Linked DNA regions of Oryzias latipes. The protein of the gene in region 3 purifies or fractionates together with the protein of the main gene of each other region. This does not show direct contact. Links are inferred from orthologs where the notes say so. Each region holds a gene or a part of one and is shown on either strand. Other genes may lie near its edges.

Region 1 (3,651 bases), on a different chromosome or scaffold from region 3:
AAGACAAAAAGATGAAAGAAAGGATGAAAAGACGAATGAATGATCGTTAAATAAACTTTATTGTCTGTTCATTAAATAGACAATAAAGTTTTGGTGCCTCCTTTTGCACAAACATCAATTAAATCTTGAAAGAAGGAAGACGTGCATTTATTTTGTTTTTATTCCTCAATAATCATCTATTCATGCCATTTGTTTTGACTGGATGTTCGAGATTAAATGTAATTCAATTAATTTTATTTATTTTCTAAAGCAACTTTCATGAAAATGCTTGACTAAGTTAAATAATTGGTTCAAACTTCCTTAAGTGCATTAAATTTTAAATCTGTGTTTTTATTTGAAGTCAAAATAATGAAAAACAAACATTCAATGTTCTTCATAAACACCATCCATCCATCCATCCATCCATCCATCCATCCATCCATCCATCCATCCAGTTTTTTGTCGTTTGCTTGTGTTTACCGTCCACTTGTTTGTTGATCTGGTCGTCGGGCAGATCTGAGGCCAGCGCCGTCAGCTTACTGAGCGCCAGCAGCGTCTTCTTCTTCACAAAGTAGCGCGTCTCCGCGGTGGCCTGGCTGTACAGCGTCCTGAAGGCCTGCATGGCAGTAGAAGCAGTTTAGGATGGAGGAATAACCTACAAATGATAAATATTTACCCCTTTCTTTCCCAACGTAATTAGGAAAACGTCTAATTCGTTTTTCATTTGTGCTATAAAAAAAACTTTATTTGCAGGTAAAATTTTAAATCCTACATTGACGACTGAAAAAAAGCAGGAATAAAGTGTTTTGAATGGTGGGACCTTAAAGGAGCAATAAGGGCATAAAATAATGTCTGCAGATGTAAAGTTCCTCTACAGATACTGACTCTTGTTTTTTAATTAATGCTTCTTTCATTTAAAGACAGACCTGGTGCTTTTAACTAAGAGGGTCCAATTACTTTATTTCCAGACTAAATCTCCTGATAACTGTGATTCTGAGCTGAGCTGAAGTAAAGTGTCCTGTGCTTGCTGTCGCCGTGCAGCTGCGGGTGTGAGGGGGCAAACGTGGCGTACGCTCTGGTAGTCGTGCACGTGGACGTTGTGGAGCCAGCTCAGGTGCTGGTGGGACTTCAGGAAGCTGGCCAGCTGCTGGTGCTGCGCAGCCGGCTGGGACAGCAGCTTCCCCCTCTTCCCCTTCTCCATGTACCACCGAAACACAAAGTCAGAAAAGTTCTGCAAAGAAAACGAGGAGGAAGAAGATTCATGAAGCGTCCTGACGGTTGGACGCTCAGCTTTCATTCAAGCAACAAGGAGACAAAGTCGCTCCCGAAACTTTTGCCTGAGTTCTGGCAAAGAATTACAAAAAATGGCAACAGATAAATTAATAATCTGTTGAAGCTCCAGAAGGAATTTAAAAATTGGATTTGTTTTTTTTTACTAAGCCATATGATGGAACTGCTGAGAAGGATGCTCCTGTTAGCTGTGGCCTTTTAACCTCTTCACACACAGTTTCTCTCTATACCATTTAATCCTGGACTCCGCCTAATTTAGCATCACCTTGAATGTAAAACAGACTGAAGAATATTTGTTTTACATGACTGGAAATAAATTCAGGTATGAAGGGGTTAAAAAGGCTTCAGAGGCTTTGAGTTTGTAGCAAAAAAAATGCTAATTTATGATAATAAAAAGCATAAAAAACAGAATTCAAAATACTGTTTTTTTATGTGGTTTCTCTTTTGCGAACCAAAGTTGATAAGAAGATAAATTACCCTAAAAAAAAGGTGGAGTAGCAGAAAAACAGAGATTTAGAATTTTAAAAATACAATCTAATAATAAATAGGCTTAAAAGAGATTTGTATTTCTTTTGTTTTCTTCCTATTAGGCATTTATTTGTAGATTTCAGTCTTTTTTAAATCTGGATGTATTTATTCTATACATTAGCTACACCTTTTTCCTTCTGTTCCATCTCTGTTTTAGTTTCCTTTTCAGATTTTATTATTCTGCATATTTTTATGAAGCTTTTTTTCAGGATAATTTAGCTTCTCGTCAACTTTCCTTTTTATACATATTTTTTTACTATTGAGTTTCCTTAAGCATTTTTTATTATTCTGAATTCTCTTTTTTCTTTCTTTAACAAATTTTAACATGTTTTTTTTTTTTGGCTGTAAACCCAAAGAGAAAAACATTAAAAACCTTTTAAAATATGTACATAGGTCTCAAACAGCAGAGATATACCAGTAATACTTTGAGGGTGCTAAAACAAAAAAAATGAGTTGAATAAACGTTTCTCCCTTAAACACCAGCGATGTCAAACACGTTCAGAGACATATCGTAACTTATTGATTGTTAACGTGATCGACACGAATCAGCGGATTCTGAAACGGAGAAAAGCGGTTTGCACTGTTTTGCAACACGTTACGTTCGCCGCTTTTCTCCACTTCACAATCGAGGCGGAGAATCAGAATTAACTAAACGCTTGAAAAGATACAGCCGTCGATAGACACTGGAGTTTAAGCTCTGGTGTTCAAGGGGTTCAGATCAGGAAAACGTGAGAAAAAAATCCCATCAGACACCATGAAGTATTAGCGCCTTTCAGGTACCTGATCTGCAAACTTGGCCATGTAGTGCTGCAGGCGGTTCTGGTTGTCGGTCTGCTCGCACATCTGGACCAGGATGTCAAAGTCGCAGTATTTCTCTGCCAGCGCTGCCACCCACTGGTACTGACCCAGCTCCACTGCAACACAGCATCCTGTCAGCTGCTGACTGTGTCTGATAAAAACATGGCGGTCTCACAGGAGCGTGCACGATGTCGGGACGCCGCCCCTCCACGGAGACTCACGCAGCGGGGAGAGCAGCTCGGAGCGGCGCTGGCTGTACTCCATCTCCAGGCTGTTGTAGCGCTCCTGCTGGGCTCCTGCGGGCCTCGGCTGCTGCAGGGAGGTCAGCTGGGCCACGTAGCTGCTCAGGTAGATGTCCAACAGCGCCACCAGCTGCTCACAGAGGGAGCTGCGCAGCTGGGAGTCGGCGTGCGGGTACACCGAGGACAGGACGATGTTGTGCTGGCGGGAAATGACGGAGCGGACGCCTCCGATGCCGCCTGACGCTGGAGAAAAACAAAAGTGTTTTTCCAACGTCAGCTCCTCAGGGTTAAACGAGGTCAACACTGAAAGGGACTCACCTGTCCAGGGGATGTACTCCGGCTCCACTGCAGCTCTTTCAGGGGCTCTGTACATGGAAGCCTTGGTGTTTCTATACTGACACGCAGCCTGCAGCATGTCCTGCACACAGACACGCATCAGCGGGCTGCACGGAACACCCGTTTGGTCTTTGGCGCCACGTTTACCTTGATGATGCTGTTAACTATCAGCACCACTTCAGCCCACTGCACAGAGTCAACCGGGTACTCCTTCAGACTCCGCTCCTCCTCCTCCAGCAGGCAATCGAACACCGAGGAGATCTGAGACACCTGGGAAAGCGCCGACACAACAATGAAGGAGCCGCCCCGCCGCCAAACCTCACAGTGACGACGCGGCGGCGGCAGGCACCTCTCTGAAGAAGACGTCGGCCGGAGTGAGGCTGGGCGGGATGGAGGTGCCGCTCCTCTGCAGGGCCGCGCTGATGGCCCGGTTCACCAGCTCGCCGTGCTTGGTGTGGTGGTTCTTCAGGACCATGGC
Region 2 (3,751 bases), on a different chromosome or scaffold from region 3:
GGTGTGGAATTACAAACACTGAGAATAGGATAAGAAATGGCATTTACCATAAACACCTACAGAGTAGCTGTAATGGAATGAGCTGGAGTTCTAACACTGGATGAGGGGAAACATTCCCTTACTGACCTGAGGACTCGTGTCCCGTGTACTCGTACATCTTGTCCCAAGCTCCGTTCTCCTCCTTCCAGACGATGACCTTCCGGTCGTAGGAGCAGGAGGCCAGGATGTTCCCAAACATGGGGTGGGCCCACGCCACCTGCCAGACGGGCCCTTCATGGCTGAACGAAGAACACAAAATCTCTCACACGCGAGTTCAGAGTAGAAATGAACTTTTCACGATGAAAGCCGTTTGTGTTTCACGATATTTGTCAGCGTGTATTATACCAGCATAAAGAACATTAAACTAGAAGTTATTCTTCTTGGAGAACACCCACCTGCTGTTCTTTACTGCATTTAACAGAGGATAACTAAGACTTTTCTGAGGATGACTCACCCTCGGAGGTCTGCCACTAGAATCTGTCCTCCGTTCCTGACATCAAAGATCTTGACAGTGCGGTCAGAGGAGCATGTGGCGAGTCGCGTCCCGTAATAATCCATCTGAGCGTCATGCTGAAACACAGAAACATGTATGTGTTCACAGCCAGTGAAACCATTTCTATGTGTCTGATGTTTCAAATGGACATTTTGAGATTGAAAGGGAAACACGTATGCTGGTTATGTCAATCATTATACTGGCACTAAATGAAGGCACAAATCCAGAACTCCTGGATCTAAACCTTTCATGTCAGCCGTTTGAATCTACAGCACCTCTGGATCAGGAAGAGGCTGTTTAAAAACCACCTAGAGAGCGGTGGTCTTCCAGCTGAAAGGGTGACATCATCGGCGTGTGAAGGTCAAAGGTCTTTAGTACTAGTAGGTAGAAAGAAACACTGCAGAAAGGCAGGTCGTTACATTTGGATAAAGGGAAGATTTCTGAGAATTTAACTCCTAAAACCAGAATAAAGACATGAAGAGAACTTTTCAACACGTGTGAGTATTTAGACACGCCATCACTTCCCATCCAACTCACCTGAAGATTTACAGATGCATGAATGCAGATGGGATGCAACTGCCAGGCGTGTCTAGTGTTTAAGTGTATACAGCACAGCGCTTTTAATACTAGAACAAATCATTTTTAATTGAGGATCCTCACATCAGTGAAATCAGGGGCTGGAGGTTGATTTAGATGCTTTTATGCAACAGACAACTGCCTCAATGCTATCAAGAATGAAACATTTTGATGTTGAAGGGAATTCATCCATCCCGCTCAGGATTACAGGGTTGCTGGAGCCTATCCCATCAGGGTTCACCCAGGACACTTCACCCGTGCATCACAGAGACACACAACAACACACATGAACCTTTACAGCATGTCCCTGGACTCGTCAACAAAAAGTTATGTGTTCGTACTTTTAGAACACTGTGACCTCTGATAGGTTGATAACATGTTTGTCTTTCTTGTATGTTCGTTTAAAATGAAGCCCGTCTCTATGATCATGTGTTAGGCAAACGTTTCCCTCTAAAATCATTAAGGGTATCATTCAGGAACAAGTATCACAATAAAATCCAGCCTTTCTGATAAAAGTGGGTCATTTCTTCTAAAGAGATTAAAGCACAAAGAACAAGATGAACTTCAAGAAAACAACAAGACAGACAGAAAAAACACGTTTCCCCCACAAACAAACCTAAGGATAAATGTAATTATAAATCAATATTAATGATTAGTTCCAAACGATAACGATACAGCCCCAAAATAGAGTAATCAAACCACAGTAAAAGTTTAATTGTAAGAACGGATAAACGTGTGAAACAATATTAAACAAATTCAATGTAATTATCCATCCACGGATAGCATAGTGGGAGGTCAAACACTTACAATCATGTCCTCGTGGGAGGTGTCCACGGTGTTAATAACGGAGACCTATAGATTAGAAACAGCAGAATTTTATTTGACCTGTTCATAAAAAAAATAACCATCATTGTTTTTATCTGCAGTGCTAACGCGTCAGCTAGTATTTCGGCTAACGGGAGCTAGCTAACTGTGAGTCTTAGCAGGCAAACGTAAACTTTAAAGATGTTTTTAAGAAATGCTAAAACCATTTTTATAAAGTATTTTAACCAACCATCGCTGCTGTTTAACCCAAAAACCCTTCAACAGTTTTCTGGTCGCTTAGCAATGAATCGACCGGGTTTACAAACTACTCCGACGTGGCAACAAGTACCGCAGACCGCTTCCAGAGCCCGAGACTTGCTTCCGGCGGAAGTGACGCAATCGAAACGTAAGTTCCGCCTACACGACAACAACGCAAAATTACATTTACAAAGCCTGTTGATGCAACGACAGGGCTGCTCCCTGTTCCCTTCTCTGTCTATCTGTCTCTCTGTCTATCTGTGCCGGTCCCAAGCCCGGTTGCTTTGAGAAGGTTGCGTCAGGAAGGGCATCCGGCGTAAAACATTGCCAAGTTTACCATGCGACTTGTTCGCTGTGGCGACCCCTGATGGGAAAAGCCGAAAGAGGAAAAAAAAAAAAAAAAAAAAAAAAAAAAAGTTGATGCAACGAAAGAAGAGTCAAAACATCTTCCTGTAAAATAACAAAAGGTATATTTTCACATTAAACAATCTAAATTTATTTGGGACAATACTCACACACATGAAAGCCAATTAAAAAATAAAGTTATAAATCAGAAAACAATCTATTTACAAAACAACCTTGTATGTTATTCAAACAAATTCATGGCAAACAGAGACTGTAAAACTTCTCTTTACAGTCCATGGTTTAGGATTTCAAAACGAACTCGGCTGTAATGCTCGGTTTGTCCACACGAGGGAGACATAAACCAGAATAAGTGTGCTGTATTTTTAGCTGACCCTGGGGGTGTCAGGTTTAAGGTTAGCTCCGCTTTCTGCCCACCAGCCTCGCCATGTTGTCAGGGTGAATCTGGTTCCCCAGTTCCATTGCTTTCCTACAGATTTAGCATTTATCGGCGTCCGTGTCAGCTGTTAAAGAACCATCATGTCTAACGTGTCCTACCACATCTCCAACCTGTTGGAGAAAATGACCTCCACTGACAAAGACTTCAGGTAAAGTAAGAGACAGCTGCTCATCAGCTGCTCATCAGCTCTGACAGTGAGACCCTTTTTACTCTGACTCGTCATTCGATTGTAGATATTTCTTTTGTCAAAACGTTTGTTTAAGACACTCTGAGTAATGAATATAAAGCAGTGAATGTTAAAGTAATGAACATTTTAATTTAAAATCTGATCAGAGACTCAGAGGAGAAAAGACAGTTATTAAAAGGTTCTTTTTTTACATTTTGCTGAAAATGCAGATGTATTTAGTTTACTAACATTTAAAAAGTGCAAAATTCAAATGACAAAGAAGTGAAAGTAAAAGTTTCATTACACACACATCATGAAACTTGAACACAAACTTTAGAAGTACAACAAGAAGCGAATCCTAAACTCAGGTGTTTGTGTACAGAACGAAACCTTTAAAACTGTTTTAGTTGATTTCTTTGTAAAGATTTGTTTATGTCACGCTTTTGAATCCAAACTATTTCAATTATTAAAATCAAATCACAACTGAAGCTTCAATAAAGAATATGAAAACAAGAGGCGGCATCTCCAAAAGTTGACAACTTCTACAGTATTTTTAGAATAAAACGTTAGACTAATCATGGCCTAAATCTATGCACCAAAGTCACAATTCAAC
Region 3 (3,751 bases):
AAAAATGAACAATGAAGACTTAAATATTAAGAATGCACATGTAAAATATTAGCAAAATAAGATGATAAAACTCTTGAGCATTATTATATACAGTCCACATGATCACTTTTTTAACTGTACCTATTTGCATAAAGCCAATATAACCACAAAAGGTCCTTAACAAAAGCCTGCAGGGTTGAAAGGTTCAGCCAGAGGTGGCAGACTGATCAGCATGCCTTCTGCATGTGGTCTGCTTCAATCCAAATGAAGTGTGCTAGTCGGAAGCAAACATGTCTGGACTGAGATAAGCAGATATAGAGACTGATGCCCTCCTAAACACGCAGCTATGGGCAAAAAAGCGAGCAATGATACCCCTGACAGCACAGAGAGTATAAATAGAGCTGGCAAATACTTGACAGTGAATGTTGACGCACACTCAAGTCTGCAAATATCGTATTAAATTCACATATTAGCATTAAATAAGTTGATGTACTGGCTTAAAGGCTTATTATGAACAAAAAGGCTAAGTGTCAAAATGACATTACCATTTATTCCGAGTTGGACTTGGCACTAAGTCGCTCTTTCGATGTTGCTAGCTGCTATCGTGACACAGCAAATGTGAATTTCTGTCTCGTGCAACAGAAGGGTGGTTTCCAGAGTCGAGCTTTACGGTTTAAACTGTTCTCGTCAGTGAAATGACAGCGCAGTGGCCAGTGCAGACAGACATCAATGGATGTGGGCAGGGCACACAGCTAGCGCCGCTGCTAACGCTAGCTACATGCTCCTACATGACGCACATACATAGCTAGCTGGCCGGGCTAACATCACAATACACCCTAAATATTTAATGCAAATATTATGTAATTTGGGTGTTTAGTGCTTTTATTTTGATCTAAAATGACAGAAGCGCGCGCGTGTCCCACGGCGTAACGTGGTTTGGCAAAAAAAAAAAAAGGGGGTGGAGAAACTAGGGGCAACAGTGGTTAACAGTTTAAGCAACCAGCTAGCTACCGCACCTGCGCTAACAAGCACGCGCCCGAAAACAGTTTTCCAGCGTCGCGCGGGTGAATTGCTTGCCGATGCCACCTTAAAAACGCTACAAGACTCACTGCGAAGGTTGGTGACAAGTTCTGCGTGACTGGCTCCTCCAGATTTCCAGGCCATTATTAAGCAGACTTTGCGGAGTAAGTAGACAGCAGCTGTCAGTGCCGCGCCTGCGCCAACAGTTTTCCCGATGAAGCTCGCAACCTCGAGCGGAGACGGCGGAGCGGATACGTCACCAGACATCCAAATGATTTTATTACCGGGCCGCCTTTCACATACACTCCCTTTTAACAAAACACGTACAGTTTAATAAAATACAAACCCAATTAGATACGTACTGAGCCCAGTGTCAGTTTAAAGAGGGAATTCCTCTGTCTCTGCTTTATTGGAATTGTTGGGTAATAAAGAAGTCGGCCGCTAGGGGGAAACAGATTATCTATTAATTTAAAGAAGAATAGCACACTGTGATCTGGTCTTCTCGGGCCACCGTAGTTACGTATGAAGCAGCAGGCGCGTAGTTTCTCGTGTAGTCCGTAAACTGAAAACAACACTTCAAATTTTAACAAAAAGGCTTCAATTTCCATGGAGAGCATAAATGCCAAATATGTGTCTCAGAAAATCAGTAAGACGAGATGGTGTCCGGTTTCCTATTCTTCACTGCAACAACCAGAAGTCTTTGCTACGGGCTCGTGGGACAACGAGGTTAGCTAGTAGTACTACTACTAGCGCAAAACCACACAAATTATTAAGATCGCTTGCTAATTAACTCAATTTTTTTTATTAATTTAAATTATTTAAATACACTTTAAAAAATTGTTTTGATTCATTTGTCGTCGTGATTTAAATGTTCACTGAGTTTAATGTGAAACCCGTTGATTTATAGGACAACAAGGTGTCTATCTGGTCCATTGGAAATCACAACAATTCTGGATTAGAAGACGGATTTGAAGGAGACCCACAAATTTTATGTGAGCACAAACATGGCGGAGATGTTCTGGACCTGCAAGTAAGAAACCCAAAAGCTTCTAATGACGGAATCATCGGTGTTGATGTTTGATCTGTGGAGCCATTTCTTTATTTAGGCCTATAAACAAACTAAATGAAAAATAGAAATGAGCACAAAACCAAAACGAAATTTTAAATGTTCCCTTTTCTGTCATTAAAATTATTCAGCATGTCAAATAAGTGTCAGCAGTTATAAAGTCATAAAGATCCTTCAGAAGCTCACACCCAAATGTTTGATCAATTTGTGTAACTATTTGATTACATTTTTGTTCAATTCTTCTGGATTTTCCCACTTTATTATGTTGGATGGTTCACTCAGATATGTGTGTTTTTAACATGTTTTTGTAGCATTTTTCTCATCATGGAGGACAAAAGGATTTAAGCTTAGCACTGCATTTACGAGGACTTTTTTATTTAAATTGTAATGGATAAGGACCCGGTTTGCGATGCAGCAACTGCCATTGGCGGGCCAAAGTCTCCCTGTTCCGCACGCAGACAAATAGATCCACATCCGTCTTTGTTTTCCTTTGTCTGAGCTGGAATCTAAATCTAAACTGTACGGCAGGTTGTTTTTTTTTCTTGTGCTACGCTAATGTTAGATTGGGGTTGTGAGCGGCTGTTAGGTAGCAGGAAAGCGTGTAAACAAAGGAATGCTGGGAAATCATGGTAGGGTCACTTTCACGCTAACAGTCCCATCCACAACCCAGAAACAAATTTCTAATGAGCTTCTGTTGCTCTGCAGAAATTATGTCTTAAGGAACAACACAGGGTTTTTGATTTTTGCTAAAAACTGCATAATCATAATAAAAAAAACACTGGGAATGTTTTTACAATAGGTTTTAATTTTAAATGATTTTAAATGTGTACATTGTTTGGATAAAGTAATTTTTCTTGTTTTTCTTTGTTTCATGTTTTAGTTCTTGGACCAGGAACGGATGGTCTCAGCGTCATCAACGGGAGCAGTCACTATTTTCCGCTATCATCCAAACACTCATGTACGTTGTTTCTTTTCGGTTTTCTTGAGGAGAAAACAAAATGTCATGTTTAAAAACGGGTTTCCTTTTTGTTTCCTGAACAGACCATTTCAGTTCTGCAGCACTGGGCGAGGGCGCATAGCTACCCTTGTGACAACGCGCCCTGCACCGCCTTGGTCTGCAGCAGCCCGGAGATTGTCACTGTCGGGGAGGACGGCAGGATCGTGGTCTTCAGAGCCGACCAGGAAGGAGCGGTCCGGGTCATCGGTGAGATGAGGACTCGGATGTTACCGCCTCATCAGGAGTCGAGTCTAAAACTGTCCGTTGTGTTTGTTAGAGAATGCAGACAGCAGCACAATTCACGCGGTGACTTACCTGAAGACCACGGAGGTTTTGACGGTGAACTCCATTGGCCAGCTGAAGCTGTGGGACCTCAGGCAGCAAAGCAGCTCCCCATCGCAGATTCTGTCCCTGTAAGAGCTCTGAAATTTGATGTATTTATTATTTTTTTATGTATCTTTATCCTTTCAGAAACACACCTTTACTTGTTTGTCTTTTTTTCCACCAGGTCAGGAGACAGAGCTCCTCTGCACTGCGTTGACAGACATCCCAACCAGCAGCACATCGTAGCCACCGGGGGCCAGGACGGCATGCTCTGTGTGTGGGACGTGAGACAGGGGGGCACGCCCATCTCACTCATGGAGGCACACTCGGCTGAAAGTCAGATCCTTTCTTTATTTCACTTTAAA

Evidence for each region.
Region 1: the proteins of nup43 (region 3) and nup133 purify together in Homo sapiens (affinity purification with mass spectrometry; 5 studies listed by BioGRID and IntAct, counting the BioPlex papers as one, with this or other methods). This does not show direct contact. The link is inferred for Oryzias latipes from reciprocal best matches to the Homo sapiens genes NUP43 and NUP133.
Region 2: the proteins of nup43 (region 3) and sec13 purify together in Homo sapiens (affinity purification with mass spectrometry; 3 studies listed by BioGRID and IntAct, counting the BioPlex papers as one, with this or other methods). This does not show direct contact. The link is inferred for Oryzias latipes from reciprocal best matches to the Homo sapiens genes NUP43 and SEC13.

What each region holds. Positions count from the first base shown.
Region 1 is NC_019859.2:2,085,163-2,088,813, forward strand, and holds part of nup133 (nuclear pore complex protein Nup133), read right to left. Parts: coding exon 3,523-3,651; intron 3,444-3,522; coding exon 3,321-3,443; intron 3,256-3,320; coding exon 3,156-3,255; intron 3,081-3,155; coding exon 2,817-3,080; intron 2,712-2,816; coding exon 2,578-2,711; intron 1,211-2,577; coding exon 1,052-1,210; intron 596-1,051; coding exon 460-595; intron 139-459; exon of another isoform or gene 1-138. UniProt on the Homo sapiens protein: Involved in poly(A)+ RNA transport. Involved in nephrogenesis.
Region 2 is NC_019863.2:32,816,475-32,820,225, forward strand, and holds the start of sec13 (protein SEC13 homolog), read right to left. Parts: upstream 2,313-3,751; 5' UTR 2,166-2,312; coding exon 2,163-2,165; intron 1,961-2,162; coding exon 1,916-1,960; intron 610-1,915; coding exon 494-609; intron 279-493; coding exon 127-278; intron 1-126. Other genes in the region: cullin-associated NEDD8-dissociated protein 1-like, read left to right, coding at 3,053-3,120. UniProt on the Homo sapiens protein: Functions as a component of the nuclear pore complex (NPC) and the COPII coat. At the endoplasmic reticulum, SEC13 is involved in the biogenesis of COPII-coated vesicles.
Region 3 is NC_019882.2:17,709,984-17,713,734, forward strand, and holds the start of nup43 (nucleoporin Nup43), read left to right. Parts: upstream 1-1,487; 5' UTR 1,488-1,605; coding exon 1,606-1,725; intron 1,726-1,906; coding exon 1,907-2,029; intron 2,030-2,945; coding exon 2,946-3,023; intron 3,024-3,106; coding exon 3,107-3,269; intron 3,270-3,339; coding exon 3,340-3,475; intron 3,476-3,570; coding exon 3,571-3,722; intron 3,723-3,751. Other genes in the region: pcmt1 (protein-L-isoaspartate(D-aspartate) O-methyltransferase), read right to left, coding at 1,089-1,266. UniProt on the Homo sapiens protein: Component of the Nup107-160 subcomplex of the nuclear pore complex (NPC). The Nup107-160 subcomplex is required for the assembly of a functional NPC.